Drosophila melanogaster: one gene and its partners. The protein of the gene in region 3 purifies or fractionates together with the protein of the main gene of each other region. This does not show direct contact. Each region holds a gene or a part of one and is shown on either strand. Other genes may lie near its edges.

Region 1 (7,758 bases), on a different chromosome or scaffold from region 3:
GGACCCAAGACCACGTCCTCCGTGTTGGACTGCTTTATGATCTTGACCAGATCGAGGAAGTGCGGCGATATGTCCGTGTAGTTCGACCGGCTGTACGAGCCCAAGGTTAGAACCGATAAGGGACCCCTACTGCTGCTTGGATCGATGGGTGTTTGCGGATTCACTTCGATGGGATCCTCTGTTACCACGGGCTTGCTGGCCGATGGCTTTACATCGAAATGCTCATCCAGATCGTACTCGTACTTAACTTCCTCGTCGTCCAATTCCGTCGCCGAGTGCGACTTGTGCTGCAGCAGGGCAACGGCCTGGACCAAAACCTGCAGTTTGCCTAGTGAGGTGTACTTGGCTGCAAGTTCCTTCAGGATGCCCACGTACTGTTCGATGAAGAGCAGAGCACTTGAGGGATTGTAGTTGATGTAGGCTTGGAGCATCTGCACAAACTTGTTCAGCATTTGGCAGGCCTCTTTTACGTTGCTGTGGTGCTTGAAGAAGTTGAAGTAGCACGACAGCGTGTTTTGGATCTCGTTCTTGTACGCCTCCTCAAAGATGGTTGGTTGCAGCAGCTCCAGCGTCCTCAGGATCTGTACAAATCGGTGGAAGTGGTGCTCCTCGCGCAGGGCCTTCATGCTGAGCTGGGCCCGACCTTGCATAATGGACGACAGCACGCCCAGCTGGCGAAGGAAGAGAAGCGGGTGGGAGGCAGCCAGCTTGCGAAGGAGCAGCTCGGTGTCCGTGGACAGGGTTTCAAAGTCCTTTTTGCCCACCAGACTGCCCAAGCAGGTGATCAGATTGTTGGACACCTTGTCCGCCTGGCAGCCCTTCAGATTCTGCAATTTGTACGCCTGCTCGCCGGTTTTGCCCGGTTTCAGAAACTTGATGCGCGGATACATGATGTACATCTGCTGGAGGACCTGCAGTTTCAAGTAGTCGGACACCGAACTTTTCTCCACGTGCTCCATTACCTTGACCATGAGGTCTCGTCGCTTCTCTGTGAGCTTAAACAGTAGGTTCATTCGCGAGCAGAGCTTGAAATCATAGTTTTTGCTGTCCAGCTTGACCTCGGAAAGCCCTTCGTGAAGGATGAAGTGGGAGAACGGCTCCAGTTCAGAAGTCCTCAGCATGAAGAAGGCATCCGGCCGTACGTTCTTCGACATGTACTTGTCGCGTCCCTTCCACAGCTTCGGATTGGTGGTCAGTGCCTCGAAGTAGTTGAGGACGGTGGCGTAGTCGTAGTCTTCATGGAAATTCTTGAACAGGTACTCGGCAATCCTTTCGATCGTGTCCCAGTTGGTTTGGTGGTTGATCAGGGACAACAGATAGAACCTAAACTCGCTGCAGGACTTTGAGAACAGAAAGCGCTCCTTCATTAGCTGAGTGGAAACTATCTCGGGATCCATTTCGGACAGCCAGTCGATGAAGAGCCCGTTGTGGAAGAGCTGGTCGCTCTTGGACTTGGCGACGGTCTTGCTGTCCTTGGTCTGATCGAAGCTTTGGACGATCGCCCGGACGATCCGTTTTCGTGCCACCAAGGCGGTATTCGCCTTAAACTGCTGCGCATAAATCTCGCGAGAGTTTCTCAGCATGAACACCAAGCTCTCATGATAGAGTTCGGATTTCTGCAGCAGACTGGAGTCGGCGAATGTGTGCTTAAACATACTTAAGTTCTTTTGGAGAGCGTTCTCCAGTATGTGATACTTGTCGCTGTGCAGCATGCAGCTGAAGAAAGTCCTTAAAAATGTGCAGGCGTGACGGCTCATCGTGACACTGCAACCCACGGCTAGCACCTCTGTTATGGCGTTAACCACATCCGCTCTATTGCTGTTCGGGCTTGCTAGCATGTCCAACAGTTTTTGAATCAAGGATCGGCAGTCACTTCGCGACTCAGTCAACTGGTCGGGCTGCGTGAGAATGGTTTGGGCTACCTCCTTGGTGGCCAGGAAGTTAGTGGGTCTATCATCCGAGTCTGAAGAATCGTAATCATCAATTTCAACGGCCTCCTGAATAACCACACTGATCTTGGGCAGATCTGGCACAGTCTGCGAGTGGGAATGCAGATCCAAGGCCTGTACGGTGTAGTGCCCATTCTTAGCACCCCGCGCCTGCTGAATCTCGATTAGCTGGGCCAGATAGGCCTTGTTCAGAATGGCATTCTTCACCAGATCAAACTGCTCCAGTACAGCGGTGTCCAGCATTGCCAGCAGCTTGGACATCGAGTTGACCGGCGTGCCAAAGTTTTGCACAAAGAGCACGATCTGATCCGGCGTTAGATCGTTGAGAGCTGCCTCAATTAGTCTGTCCACCGATGAGCGGATCATCTTCAGCTTCAGCCAGTCGGGCAGCAGTTGCACCTGCTCCTGCGGCATGCTGGGCAGAAAGGCGACGGGCGCTGGTCGTCCGGGCGGAAACCAATAGTCCAAAATGGGTATCGATTCGGGCATGTTGCTGTTGGAATAGGTGAGCAGGATAATGAAGGCGTGAATGATGTTTATGTGGAGCGGTAGCTGTACTCCATCGTCAAACTGAACCATCAGCAGGTCCGGATACTCGGTCCACTCGTACGGTTCGTGGTATTCCCTTAGCTTAATTATATAGTTGTTGAACATGACGAAAAGACACTTCAGAGTCTGAATGCGGTTCTCGTCGGGCACATAGTCGTAGTCCTCCTGCGAAATGATAATGTGCTGAAACATTGTGCTGCGCTCTACAATCAGCTGCGCCATATCGATGACATGATCCAGCATTTCGTTGACCGGATCGTTGAGCGTGTGCGCAGTGATGAACTGAATGTACGCCATAATCAGTTCCGGGCAATTCTCCACCTGGCAGGCAGCTCGCAGCTGGGGAATTATGAAGGGTTTCACCTCGTAGAAGTGCGGAATTTGCTGGAGCGACTTCAGGAGCCATTCGTTTTCAAAGTCGCCAGAGTGCCTGAAGATTATCTTCAGACCCGAAAGAGCGGCGACTCGCGATTGCTTCACCGTGGACGACAAGCGTCTAAATATGTAGTCCAAAAGCTCGCAAACGATTTGGTGGCTAAGATTGCCGTCAAATATCAGGTTTCTCAGGAAATTGACTAACTCGGCATCGCGGCTATTCTCCTCGTTGATGATGTGCGCGTTGAACAGCAGAAACTCGCACAGGCATTGCACTGGGAGATGGCTGAAATCGCCCTCGCTGTTCTGAACCAAGTCGGAAAGCCAGGGCATGGATTGCGTGGTGCCCTGCCTTTGAATTATGTCCAGCAGCAAGTCCGGCTTGCGGCAGCGGCAGAATAAGTGGCCAAGCTTGTAGGTCTGATTAAGGAACTTTAGCTGATCTAGGACCATGGAGGGCACTTTGCGCGGAGTGCCCATCGGGTCCATCAGCATGAGCTGAGTGATTAGAATCGCAGTTTCCTCAGTGATAACAGCATGCGGCGATGTTTGGGCAGCCAAGTACGTCTCGAACTGCAGAATGTGATCCCGTTCCATGGTTATTATCTGAAAAATCTTTATTGTAGCACCGCCAGTTTGTTTATATAATTAAGCACGCACCTGCAACTCATCCTTGGTGGCTGATGAATTGTTGAATTGATTCGTTATACAAATCTCCATCATCATCTTCATTGTGGGATAGTGGTCCCAGCAGAAGGCTCCAAACGAGGAGGGGTTGTGTGCGGATATCATAAGCAATATGAGCCACGCCTTCCAGTAGAAGGCGATGATGGCCAGCTTTGGTGGCTCGTACTCCGCAGGCAAGCGAATGTTCTCCGGATGATGGTACTCTGACATGCTGAACAGGAAGTCGATGATGTCGAATTTGTTGGCCTGCACCGCCGGAATATTGGTAGCCTTCATCCCGGAAACTCGCTTTATGACCAGCAGCAGGACATCAAAGGTGTTTGCGATAGAGAAAGGAATATCCTTGGTGATGCCAATCAATATAATTCGCAGCAGGGTCTCCTCGTGAATCGGCGTCTCAGAGATAATCCGCAGGATTGCTCCTCGCTCCGGCTCTGACGGCCACTGATCGCAGCGCGAATACTGCTCCGGACTGTCCAGCAGTAGCAGCTTGTGCAGCGCCTGGTGGTACTCCGCAGCCGGAATCTTGAAGAGCGTGGGTACTGTTTCGTACATCCAGGACACTGTGTCCAACTGAATCTGTGACATCTGATTGTACAGCTTGAGCAGAGCATGGTTGTTTTTGGTGTCCCGATTGGTTTTCAGGGACAAACTGGCTTCCCTAGCTTGTGGCGTGGCCGACAGAAACATGCAGAGACACACAATGTCCACCATGGAGTTGAAAATTCGCTCCTTAAACTCGAACATTTCGATTTGAGGAGTCAGATCCTCCCGCTCACTGAGAAACGTCTTGCAAAACTTGACCAGGTTCACATCGAAGCGCAGCATCCGCACAAGCTCCCGTAAGAAAACGCGCAGGGTGCGCAGGCAATCGTCCCGCTGAAGCAAGAATTCCTGGTAAATCTCAGCCAGAGTGGCAGCTGATTGATCAGCAGATGTTTGAAACATTGTGGCTGGAAAAGTTTCAAATTAAGAATTATGATTTTAATTTAAGAAAAAATTTGTTTCTCTTACCCAGCATCCCCATATTGTTTGGATTCCTGGTGTTGGATAGCTCATTTTGCACGACCAGTTTCATTACGGTACTCAAGATTTCCGGCTGCAGAAAAATCATCTCCTTCAAGCAGGACATGTAGTGGTTTATTAGGGGCTTCGTCTTGAGCCGCATCTTCACCAGCACCAAGAGCACTTCGTTGTCCTGTGTGTTGCGTCCCTTGATGTTGAAGCAGATGTACGAGAGCAATTGCTGGGCGAACTTGACCAGTTTTCCGTTGTGGATCCACAGCTCCAGGCGGGAAATGCTCAGACATCGTACCTCTGCAATGCCAGAAGTGGTGCACAGGAACTTTAGGAAGTTTCTGGTGTAGTTATCCTGCTGCTGTCGCTTGTTGAGCTGATCGCGAATGGCATCGCTGACATGCTTCTGCACCACAGCATCGCTGAATCTTGATTTAGTGGTGCACATAGCGTCGGGAATTGGTTCCGATTCGGTATTTAAGGGACTTGCATCCAAGCTCTGTGTGGAATTGTCCCCGGAATCGTCGTCCACAGTCATGCTGTCTCTGTGTGCTTGACCAGAAGGCAGGGACGAGCTCACATCCCAGCGGAGGAGACTGATGTGGGGCGTGCGGGTTTTAAAGGCTGCGCATATGTTCTTCACGAGCGGGGCACACAGTTCATTGTCCGCCCAGTAGCGCTCGTTAACCGCATCGTCTATGTAAATGCGGAGCAGCACCTCCGGCCACTGGGAAATCTCCATGAAGCCCCGGGTCAGCAGATTGGCGAACAGAATGTGCAGGTTGGTGTTGTACCTCATTTTCACGTTGGCCTCCCGCCGCAGGAAGGAAAGCAGCGCGCAGGCCACTATGTCTGTGCAGAATATACTCGGCTGTACCTTGGCCACGTAGATCAGGGCCAGAAGGGCAATGTTGTCCACCTTGGAGCGCGAGGAGCTCGTCGTTGTCTGCTTTATAACGCCGCATACAAGCCGGCCCACAGTTTCGCTGTCGTTCTGCTCCAAAGCCGCGTATATGGTCTCGACCACGGTATCCAGATCGCAGTCAACGGCGAATTGCTCCCACGTCTCGCACTGACTACTACCGGAGGACATGTCCGGGGCGCCCGCGTCCTTCAGGTTGCCGCGGAACCGCTTGCTCGAGCTGGCCAGTGCGGTGGAGGCTTCACGCTTGCGGTCCGACGACGACATGCCCTTAATGGGCAGGATCTTCGACTTGGAGTCATCGCGTACGCTCTTGCCGAGCGCAAAGAGTTCTCCGCCCAGCGGAACCTTCTTCTGCGATCGGTTGGAGCCGCTTCCTTTCCCGCGATCCATTTTTCTCTGTTCGTGTGTGAAGGTTTTTTCTGTCCATAAAATGGATAATTCAAGCGCGGTGCATTTTATTTTGCTTTGCGATTTGCAGCCGTGCAACAGTTGCAGTGTGACCAGAGTGCAGGCGCTAGGGCTCAATGGCTAACGCATGCAGAAGTCTGTGCAACTGCTCTGATTCGGAACGATGGAAGCTTTGAAACAGGCTTTAATATAAATATTGAACTGTTTTCATATTTTAATTTTTATTTTTTGACAAGTGTGTAACCTAACACCCTTAGGCGCACATTTGCATACATCATTTTTCAGATGGCCCACTCTCATGTGCAGATTGTTCTTAAGAACCCCTCAACGCGGTCACACTAAAATTGTTTACAAAATTGCAAGGAAAATAATAATAATTGTAAATTAAAATCAGCGCACCAGCATGTTTCTGTCCATCGCCCCGCCCCTAATGGACTTCGAGGACGAGCTGCTCTGGATAAACCAGTCGAACAGCGACAAGGTGGAGATCATCTACGACAAGTCCAACTACATTACCCCCAACATAAAGCACCTCATCGAGCAGGCTTTTCTCCAGCCACTCAGCCTCCAGAACCAGCACATCCTCTTCGACGACCTGCTGAAGCAGAACACGGACATTGCGCGCCAATATGGACTGACCCCGGACAAGGTAAGAACCGAAAACATTGCTAGATATATGTCTTATCCATTGCTTCCATCTCAGCTACCTCTGCTCGTGGAAAGCAATCCTCTCATCTCCATTGAGATCTTGCTAAGACTGATGACGACCTCCGACATAACTGAATACTTCAACGTGTTGGTCAACATGGACATAACACTTCACTCCATGGAGGTGGTCAACCGGTAGGAATCCAAACATCGAGTATTGAAGGCTTCTTTAACATGCTCGAGCTCTCATTCCAGACTAACCACCTCCGGACCTTTGCCCACTGAGTTTATTCACCTATACATCAGCAATTGCATCTCGACTTGCGAAACAGTCAAGGACAAGTACATGCAGTCTCGCCTGGTGCGACTCGTTTGCGTATTTCTGCAGTCCTTGATTAGGAACAAGATTGTGAACGTTAGGGTATGCGCTACTACCATTTCCTCGACTGTGCTTAGTGACTATTCTATTGTTATTTTCCAGGAACTATTCATTGAAATCGAAGCCTTCTGCGTGGGTTTCAGCAAAATCAAGGAGGCTGCTACCCTGTACCGGCTTATCAAACACTTGGAAACTGGGGAAAGCGCTCTGTCGTCCAACTCCCTAGCTAAGTAGTGGTAGTGTTTAGCAGATTTTAAGTTTTAAAGTCTAGTTCATAATAAATCGATTAAATACGACAACTCCAGCTGTACATGTAAAACAAATTCGCATTTAATAACTTAAGTATCTAATGTAGAGTTGTGTGTTTTATGAGTGAGTGTTGGCTGCCTCGTTGGTGTGAAAGTAAAGTGGCTCGGCCGAGGGCTTGGGGAAACGGCTCAGGTAGCGTTCCAGTCTTAAGAATTTAATCGAAATCAGGCGCTTGTCGAACCACCAGCCGTTGATCTCTTTGTGAATCGTGCCGGCGTCCTCCTCGCTGGCGCAGCGGATGTACACGCAGCAGGACTGCACGTCCAGCTGGACATCGCAGATCTTGCAGCGCGTGCCGACCTTCTCGATGATCGACTCCACGATGGACTGCTTCAGATTGGCCTGATCCACCTCTGAGGAGTCGAACATGTGCCTAATCTTCAGGCAGGGAGTCGGCGGGTTGGCAATCTTGTTCGAGTTATCGAAGGCGGGACTCTGCCACTTCTTAACAAGCCCCACATCCTTTTTGTCAACGTTCCTGTTCCACGCAATTGTGCGCATTGCCTTCCCGT
Region 2 (4,609 bases), on a different chromosome or scaffold from region 3:
CCAAGCTTATGAGTACAATCGTGTTGTCGCCTGTGTCCAAAACTTCATTGCAAATCAGGTGTCCGCCGTCTATGTGCATCTCATCAAGGATCGTCTTTATTGTGGTGATGATCACGAGCTACTGGCCATTCGTCAAACTCTTACCCACTGCTATCAACAACTCTGCAAGAGCTTATGGCCCATTGTTCCCTTCCTGGTGGAGGAAAGCTGGAGCTACTATGACACCACAGGTGGTGCATTCCACGAGCAAATTGTTCAGACTAATCCTGAATGGCAGGACACCAAAGCCACTGAAGTGATTAATGCAGCGTTCGATGTTAAACGACTTATTAACCAACAGGCTGGAGATGTTAACACCTGGCACTTGGCCGTGACCATCAAAGGAAAGGAAAGAAGCCAGCTGGATTTGCTGCGAGAACTTCACAGCCCTCTTGGAGAGTCTGTGAGCAATTCTGAATTATGCGAGATATTGCAAGTGGGGTCAGTTACGCTCTTACAGTCCCATAATAGCGACTTGGATATTGCTTTAAGTAAACTTCAGATATCACTGTGCCCACGTTGTCGTCGCTATGGTCTGGAGGATGAGCAGAAAACGTGTCAACGTTGCTCTGACGTTATGGAGGCAAAGAACTAAGCGTAATGATGTGTTGTTATTTAGGTGTAAGGAATACATTTATGTTTTTAAAAACTCTGTAAGCATTTCATGATGGTGTCTCGCAGCTTGAGCCGGGTTGTTGGCTTTCCGCCGCAGATAATATGCGTCTCGTTGTCCTCGAACTTAATGACTGTGTCCTCATTGACAAGGTTCAGAGTCAGAGCGCCGCCAGTGCGGTCTAGCTTGATGTTGGAGAAGCCATCCTGTGCCAGCTTCTTCATCACTGCATCTACATCAATGCTGCCATACTCGTATTTGACGTTCTTCAGCACATCCTCCTTTGTCGGAGCGCTGTTGCTCGAGATGGTCTCGTCTTTAACGCTATCCGCACATGGCTGGATGCAGTGGACCTTGTCCTTAACTTGCAAAACTCCTGTCAATGTGGAGAAGGTCACGCCGGCCGCCACCTCCTTTGGCGATATCTTTTGGGCCAGTTCCGAGGTAATGTAAATTCGATCCAGCTTCCGTTTTAATGGCAGACGTATGATCTCGCCGCACTTGAACGTTATTATCTTCTTATCCGGCTGTTCAATGAACAAATTTGGGGCCGAGGGATGTGGTTTTGTGTATGCCTCTGGGATGACAAGCACATTTGGTTTCAACTCCTTGATCAGCTTATTTGCCTGCTGATAATTCAAAGAGGTGTCGATGGGACAGTAAAAAGCCTTCATGGCCAGTGGTTGGAAGGGCGCCAGTACTTGCAGATACGGAAAGTCCGGCTCCGTGAATATGATGGAGTTGTTAGGGTTATTGCCCCACATCTCGATAAAGTGAACAGCGTCGCCGAAACGCAAGCTAGGATGGCCACAAAAGACCACGCAGGGCTGTAAGGAAGACAGAGAATTTGTAGTATGAAGTTTTCACAATTATGTTAGACAAACCTGCCGGAAGTCCTTGCTAAAGCCCTCGGAGAACACATGGTTATAGTGCTTCAGCTTGTTGTTGCGAAGGTAAAAGGCATGTGGGAAAGGATCGTCTGGAAGATACACTTTGTTCTGCTTGGCGGAACTAAGCCACTCGGCCAGGATATTAGAATACGCCAAGGAGCTGTCTGCCACAGGGGAAATAAAGAACATGGGAACATTGTTTAGGCCAGCGTTTTCCAAATTCTGGGTGAGGCACTCAAAGAGGTCATAGACAACGCCCGAAGGATAACAGGGAATCAAGGCAGACCCATTGTTGCGGATCGTCAAGGCCACATTCATGCAGAGCTCGCCCAGCTTCGTGTCCGGATTTACCGTCGGCGCCTGCGTCAGTCCGGTCATAATGAGTACATCGGCGTGCTTCAGCGCCGACTGATTGATGGGCCGCGGATGTGTGGTCAACGTGGAGGAACCACTGACATAGCAAATCTTTTCATGCGCCGTGCTCAGTACCCAGTTGCTCGAGCCCAGGCAGTAGCCCGAGCTGACAGGAGTGGCGATAAAAGCTCCGAGGATGTCCAGCTTCTCGTCGTAGCCCATGATGGTCACCTTGGACAGACTGCCTTGGACATCCTTAAGACTAAAGATAGTGCGCCACTTCTTGGCGCGAAAGGCTTCGCTCAAGGGACTGGGCAGCAGATGAAGCTTCTCCTTCCACAAGCGCGCGGTGCACGCCTTGGGCGACACTTCGATATAGTCCACCAGCTCCTCCAGGAAAAATCGGCCGATCTGCAGCGTTGGCTCCGTGGCATAGACTTTGCCCTTGAACCCCGTGTTTTCCGTGATATACGGCAAGGCCAGCATATTAAGATAATTCGAGATAAGTATCACATCCACTTCGCTGAAATCCAGCATTTTGTCCATGGGTAGATTAAACTCGGGCGTCGAGTCCACGAAAACCCGGCCACAGCAGTCCTTCAACTCGCCATCCATTTGGGGATCATGATCCCGACTGGGCACGAAGTTGGGCAGATTGGACCACTTCAGTGACTGAACGAAGGGCAGCGGAAGGAAATTCAGGACTGTCTGCTCCGTGAGACCGCAGTCCAGCATAATCCGCAGGCCCTTGAAGGTAATGATATAACATGGCTTGGCCAGGTCCCCGCTGAGACAATACTGCAAAGTGGATAGTCACTTCCGCTAATTAAGTTGTTATTTACTTCTCAGGATGACTTACCAATCGCATTTTATTAAACCGACAGTGCCGATTAGACGATGCAAGTTTGTTTATATTTGGACCAGGGATGGGGAACGATTTGGTTCACTTATGAACCGGAATCAGCACCCGGCTAAATCATTAACCATAGGTACCAAAATTAGTTAATTACAAATTTTGGTAAATGTTTTACTACTTGTTAAACTGTAGTCATCACGCTTTAACATTTGTGCAACCACATTTTTTTCACTCCACTTGTTGCAGTGCTGTTGGTTTCCATCCCTGGTCTCTTTATTTGGTTTTTCGCAAATTTGAATAATGTCCCAGCAAATTCGCGTGGTACAATGCATTCAATGCAAAATGTACCAGGTGAGTGCAAACAAACTGAAATATATCTTAGAACTCAATAACTACTTATATATATATACCTAATTTAAACAAGGTGGACTTCGTGAAAAAGGCAAGCACATGGCAGTGTAAAATTTGCCGCCAAAAGCAAAGTTTGCTCAAGGAATTCTTTCGAGGATCGGCAGCGGAATGCCGGGTTAAGGTGCAGCATCTCAACTTAGAGCGCGGAATGCAGGAGGAATGTCTGAACACGGGCTTATTCCTCACGGCAAAGCAACAGCTCGAAGAGGAGAAAGACTGCCAAGAAAAAGAGGAAAACACCACACCTCAGAAGAAAACAAATAAATGGGCAAACTATGTGGATAATACCATTGAAACTACTCAAAAGCCTGCAGCAAAACCTACGAAAACCGATGAACTTTCCGACGAAATCTCTATGAACTTTAAGAAAACCAGGAACACAGGGCCACGATCCTCTAAACGTTCCGCTGAAAATATGCCAACAGTTACTAAGAAAATTTGCTCTAAGTGGAACGACTTCTTGTAATTCCTTAAAAATTATATATCATATATATAAATATATATTTGAATTAATTTCAATTAGAACTTATTTATAAAGCGAAGAATATTATCAGTGCTAGATTATCTCCAATTAAGATTTCCAGTTACGTGAATGAATTAAGCTTATCTTTATTAAAAAAATAATTTAATTATAATTGTTCAATACGTTTTATTAAAATCCGCTTCGTTCTAGTATTTGTGTATATGAGTGTGAGGGCCATAATGTTCACATTCAAACTGAATACATTGCCTTGCCTTGCACTAATGCTAGAAAAATACAAGTTTTATGATCCACTAAATATTGTTAGTTAAAGTTGGGGTAATTTGGGATTCACTAATCGCCGATTGGGCAACATGTTGGACATGCTTAGCTCCTTGTGCCCCAATCGGTTTGAATACTCGTGTATAGATTAGAGTTGGTTATAGTTAAGTGACGCCTGGTCGCGCTTTTATCTTGAGAGAAATTGTAATATTAGTAGCCGACTACGTGTATATAACCTATTCTCGCCGCTTAGGTGCTGGCAGGAGTGCCTCCGACACCCTCCTTCTTGGCCACCTTCTCATCGGAGCCGGTCTCATCGATGTCATTGGACTCGGTCTCCGTGCCGGGTGCACCACCTGCCTTGCCCGATGACCTACGTCGCTTGCGGTTGACACGCCATGGACGCATTGGAAACTTCATCGCCGGCAATGGCTCCATGCCAAGCACTTTGTAAATCTGTCGAAAGGCAATGTAGCGCAGGAAGAGCTGTGCGGACACAGTGAGATCCTCGCGCTCCTGTTTGGTCAACTCGAGTAGAGCGTCTGTGGGGTCCTTCTCGCAAGGATCCAGCAGGCCCGGTCCGTTGATTAGAAAGCCTGACGATAAGGCCTCCATGATGCGACGCATGCAGTCACCGGGCGAAATGGGAAAGCCAGCCGACGAGATGACCTTCTCTACGAGGAGCTCCAAAGACCATTGGGGCA
Region 3 (3,563 bases):
CATATCCTGGGGAAGAGGTTTGTTTACGTAAAATTTGCTTTCTCTCGAGAGTTTTCTGTTGAATCATTAATTCTTCTTACCTCGCACTGCAGAGGGTCGCACACGAAGTAAATGCCCCAGAGTCCGGTGTCCTTGTAGCATGTGTTGAACGATTGGAAGCTGTGGCAAAGGTCTGTAGGGCAATAATAGTTAATAATCTCCATATCCTGGTCGTCTTACTGATGTACACTTACTGTCCTCAGCGCTGGCACGGGCCAGGTTGGAGGCGTTGTTGGCGCCACCGCCTTGGGAACGATCCCAAGCACCCACCAAGGTGTTGGCCACCATCAGGGGGATGTTGTCCTGGTCGGTCCAGCCGCAGCCTTCGACGGCGATGGCGACATGGGCCAGGGGCAGGGAATCGTCGCGCACACGCACCTCGGAGCCGGTGAAGCGGCAGGGAGTCACCTCCGCGGGCAGCACACTGGCCTCCAGGCCACCCAAGCTGCTGCAGGCAAGCTTGACCAGATCATCGTGCTTGACGCCGCCAGCAGCGGCCAGAACGATGCGCGAAGCCTTGTAGTGGGTCTGGATGTAGTCGGTCAGATCGGCCTTGCCAATGGACCTAAATAAATGAAGATTTTAATTAGAGACAGAGCATTTGTTATAAGAGCTGAATATACGTACTGAATGTTCTTGGTGGGTCCCAGGATGGTCTGGCCCAGAGGAGTGCCCTGATAGGCGGTGGCGTGAAGGTGATCGAAGACCACCTCCTGCAGGTTGCTCTCCACCTCCTGCATCTCGCGCAGAATCACCGAACGCTCGCGGGCGATCTCAGCCTCACCCAGCTTGGAGTTCTGGATGATGTCGGCCAGGATCTCGACGGCTTTGGGCACATCCTTGGACAAACACTTGGCGTAGAAGACGGTCTGCTCCCTGGAAGTGTAGGCGTTCAAGTGGGCGCCCAGGTTCTCAACCTCCAGCTCCAAATCCGTTTGCGAGCGCTTGGCGGTACCCTAAAAAGTGGCAGAAACGCATATTATACGCATTTAAAGCATCAAGCTAGTGAGCCAACCTTGAAGGCCATGTGCTCCAGGAAGTGGGCCACTCCGTTGTTCTTCTCGTTCTCGGAGCGCGACCCAGCATCGATCCACAGTCCCACGGTGGCGGTAGAGGCACCGGAATCCTCGCTAGCCACGCGGAGACCGTTGTCCAGCTTGGTCACCTGGGTGGCGGGTATGTTCAGCAGAGTCTTCTGTAGGGTGGCAGCCGACTTGTATCGCTGTAAGTTCGGGAAAATTGGGAAAACTATAGCCCAGAGTTAAGTAAAACACGAACATAACCTCAAAGTGCTTGTAGTGGGTTTTCCAAACAGTTTTCCCAAATATTTGTTTGAAAAACTGGATGGCTCTTGAATAACTGACCAACAAGAGGTTGTTTATCCCTTTTCTCACAAGAATAAACCACAATTGCAACCAAAAACACAATCATTTACAATTACGTAATTTAAATCCTCGGAAGCGTAATCATTGGATGGCTGTCTGGACTTACTTTGATCATGTCAACGCCCCGCATGAAGGAGCGCATATTCTGCGTCACGCCAAGAACTCGCAACGCCATCGTTTTATTAATTCGTTCAATAGCCTATTACTAAAAAATATTTAAGACTTTTTCGTCTGTGGCCGCGGCGCTGATGAAAAATTCACACACACACACCAATGTACTGCGCTGCGCAAAGTTGGCTGCGGCCAGTCAGCTGTTCGTGGAAAATAGCCCTGGTGTGCACACACTGGCTGAAACGGCAACACAATTTTTTCGTTTTTCCTGGTTTTCCGGCTTGCTATTGAAATAAACACCTAATTTGGATAGCTAACACGAAAATATTGGCCGACCTAATCAGCTAGGCCTACTAGTTACGAAATGGCGGGCAATTTTTGGCAGAGTTCGCACTCGCAGCAGTGGATTTTGGACAAACCCGATCTGCTCCGGGAGCGTCAGCACGATTTGTTGGCCCTTAACGAGGATGAATACCAAAAGGTGTTTATTTTCTTCGCAAATGTGATCCAGGTGCTCGGCGAGCAGCTAAAGCTGAGGCAACAGGTCATCGCCACGGCGACGGTTTACTTCAAGAGATTCTATGCGAGGAACTCCCTGAAGAACATCGATCCTCTGCTGCTGGCGCCCACTTGCATCTTGCTGGCCTCGAAGGTGGAGGAGTTCGGTGTCATTTCCAATTCACGACTGATCTCGATCTGCCAGTCGGCCATTAAGACAAAGTTCAGCTATGCGTACGCTCAGGAGTTTCCCTACCGCACCAATCACATCCTGGAGTGCGAGTTTTACCTGCTGGAGAACCTGGATTGCTGCTTGATTGTCTACCAGCCGTACAGACCGCTGCTGCAGCTGGTTCAGGACATGGGCCAGGAGGACCAGTTGCTCACCCTGAGCTGGCGTATCGTAAACGATTCCCTGCGCACCGATGTCTGCCTGCTCTATCCTCCTTACCAGGTTTGTGATCCTGATAATTTCTACAGCTTCCTCACATTTGAAGAACCTATTTTTTTCTAGATCGCTATAGCCTGCCTTCAAATCGCCTGCGTCATCCTGCAAAAGGACGCCACGAAGCAGTGGTTCGCAGAATTGAATGTTGATTTAGACAAGGTCCAGGAGATCGTGCGCGCCATTGTAAATCTGTACGAGTTGTGGAAGGACTGGAAGGAAAAGGACGAGATTCAGATGCTGCTGTCCAAGATTCCGAAACCGAAACCACCGCCTCAGCGTTAGAAGAGCTTCATAATCATTCATCATTAGCTGGTATTGCCCAATTGTGTGTTTGTACTCATATTACCAATGTATTTATGCCAATTAAACGAAAGTTTAAGCTAGGTGACTAAGCAATCAAAAATGTCATTTACAAATTATTTTGCCTTTATAATAATTATTTCTAAATTAAATTACATAATTGCTTAAGATTAACATGCGGTACGGATCGTCTGGATTTTTTATGGTTCATTTAACCTACAGATACTTAGCTTGACCCCTGGAGAACTTGGTGTTCAATATCTTGGCCTTGTCTACAATCTGCTTGGTCTGATTCTTGTCGATCTTGTTAAGTTTCAAGTCCACATCCCTACTAAAAGGTCTTCGTTCTGGCTTGGAACCCGATGCAGCCAGTTCTTTTTCCTTAAATTTATAACAATATTATATCCATATTATGTTTTTAAGAAATATTTTTCCTCGTACCTTTTCTCTCTGCTCTTTCCTAAGCTTTTTTTGATGTAGCTCCACTAGGGACTCCTCTCGCTTGTGCTTCTTTTTGTGCCTCTTGGCCATGCTCTCCTGCTCGTCATCCCGCTGCTGTTCGTACTTGACCTGTGCCATTTGCTCGAGTTCCTTCGAACTGAGCGACTTTGGGCCCGATGCAGCAGCATCCGCTTCACTCTGCGGGGTCTTCGTCCAGGATGATCGATCGCTAAAGTCGGGTCGCTCTTTTCCCTGATAGAAAGTGCGCTTCATATTGCTCAGGGCGGCAAGGCCGCTCTTCAGTCCCACATCTGGCAGCTCAAGCATCCACTCTTCGCGGA

Evidence for each region.
Region 1: the proteins of CycC (region 3) and IntS1 purify together in Drosophila melanogaster (affinity purification with western blotting, with the first as the bait; one study listed by BioGRID). This does not show direct contact.
Region 2: the proteins of CycC (region 3) and IntS9 purify together in Drosophila melanogaster (affinity purification with western blotting, with the first as the bait; one study listed by BioGRID). This does not show direct contact.

Annotation. Positions count from the first base shown.
Region 1 is NT_033778.4:24,036,196-24,043,953, reverse strand, and holds the start of IntS1 (integrator 1), read right to left. Parts: upstream 6,012-7,758; 5' UTR 5,893-6,011; coding exon 4,575-5,892; intron 4,514-4,574; coding exon 3,534-4,513; intron 3,480-3,533; coding exon 1-3,479. Other genes in the region: Not11 (CCR4-NOT transcription complex subunit 11), read left to right, coding at 6,314-6,559, 6,614-6,753, 6,814-7,171; MAN1, read right to left, coding at 7,304-7,758. UniProt on the Drosophila melanogaster protein: Component of the integrator complex, a multiprotein complex that terminates RNA polymerase II (Pol II) transcription in the promoter-proximal region of genes.
Region 2 is NT_037436.4:16,102,800-16,107,408, forward strand, and holds IntS9 (integrator 9), read right to left. Parts: upstream 2,829-4,609; 5' UTR 2,765-2,828; coding exon 2,756-2,764; intron 2,695-2,755; coding exon 1,537-2,694; intron 1,480-1,536; coding exon 682-1,479; 3' UTR 635-681; downstream 1-634. Other genes in the region: IleRS-m (Isoleucyl-tRNA synthetase, mitochondrial), read left to right, coding at 1-634; CG43295 (uncharacterized protein), read left to right, coding at 3,053-3,103, 3,177-3,629; Zn72D (Zinc-finger protein at 72D), read right to left, coding at 4,155-4,609. UniProt on the Drosophila melanogaster protein: Component of the integrator complex, a multiprotein complex that terminates RNA polymerase II (Pol II) transcription in the promoter-proximal region of genes.
Region 3 is NT_033777.3:14,888,394-14,891,956, reverse strand, and holds CycC (cyclin C), read left to right. Parts: upstream 1-1,751; 5' UTR 1,752-1,899; coding exon 1,900-2,487; intron 2,488-2,547; coding exon 2,548-2,763; 3' UTR 2,764-2,953; downstream 2,954-3,563. Other genes in the region: UQCR-C1 (Ubiquinol-cytochrome c reductase core protein 1), read right to left, coding at 1-6, 81-172, 234-604, 667-995, 1,055-1,261, 1,531-1,599; CG33332 (uncharacterized protein), read right to left, coding at 2,998-3,162, 3,223-3,563. UniProt on the Drosophila melanogaster protein: Component of the Mediator complex, a coactivator involved in regulated gene transcription of nearly all RNA polymerase II-dependent genes.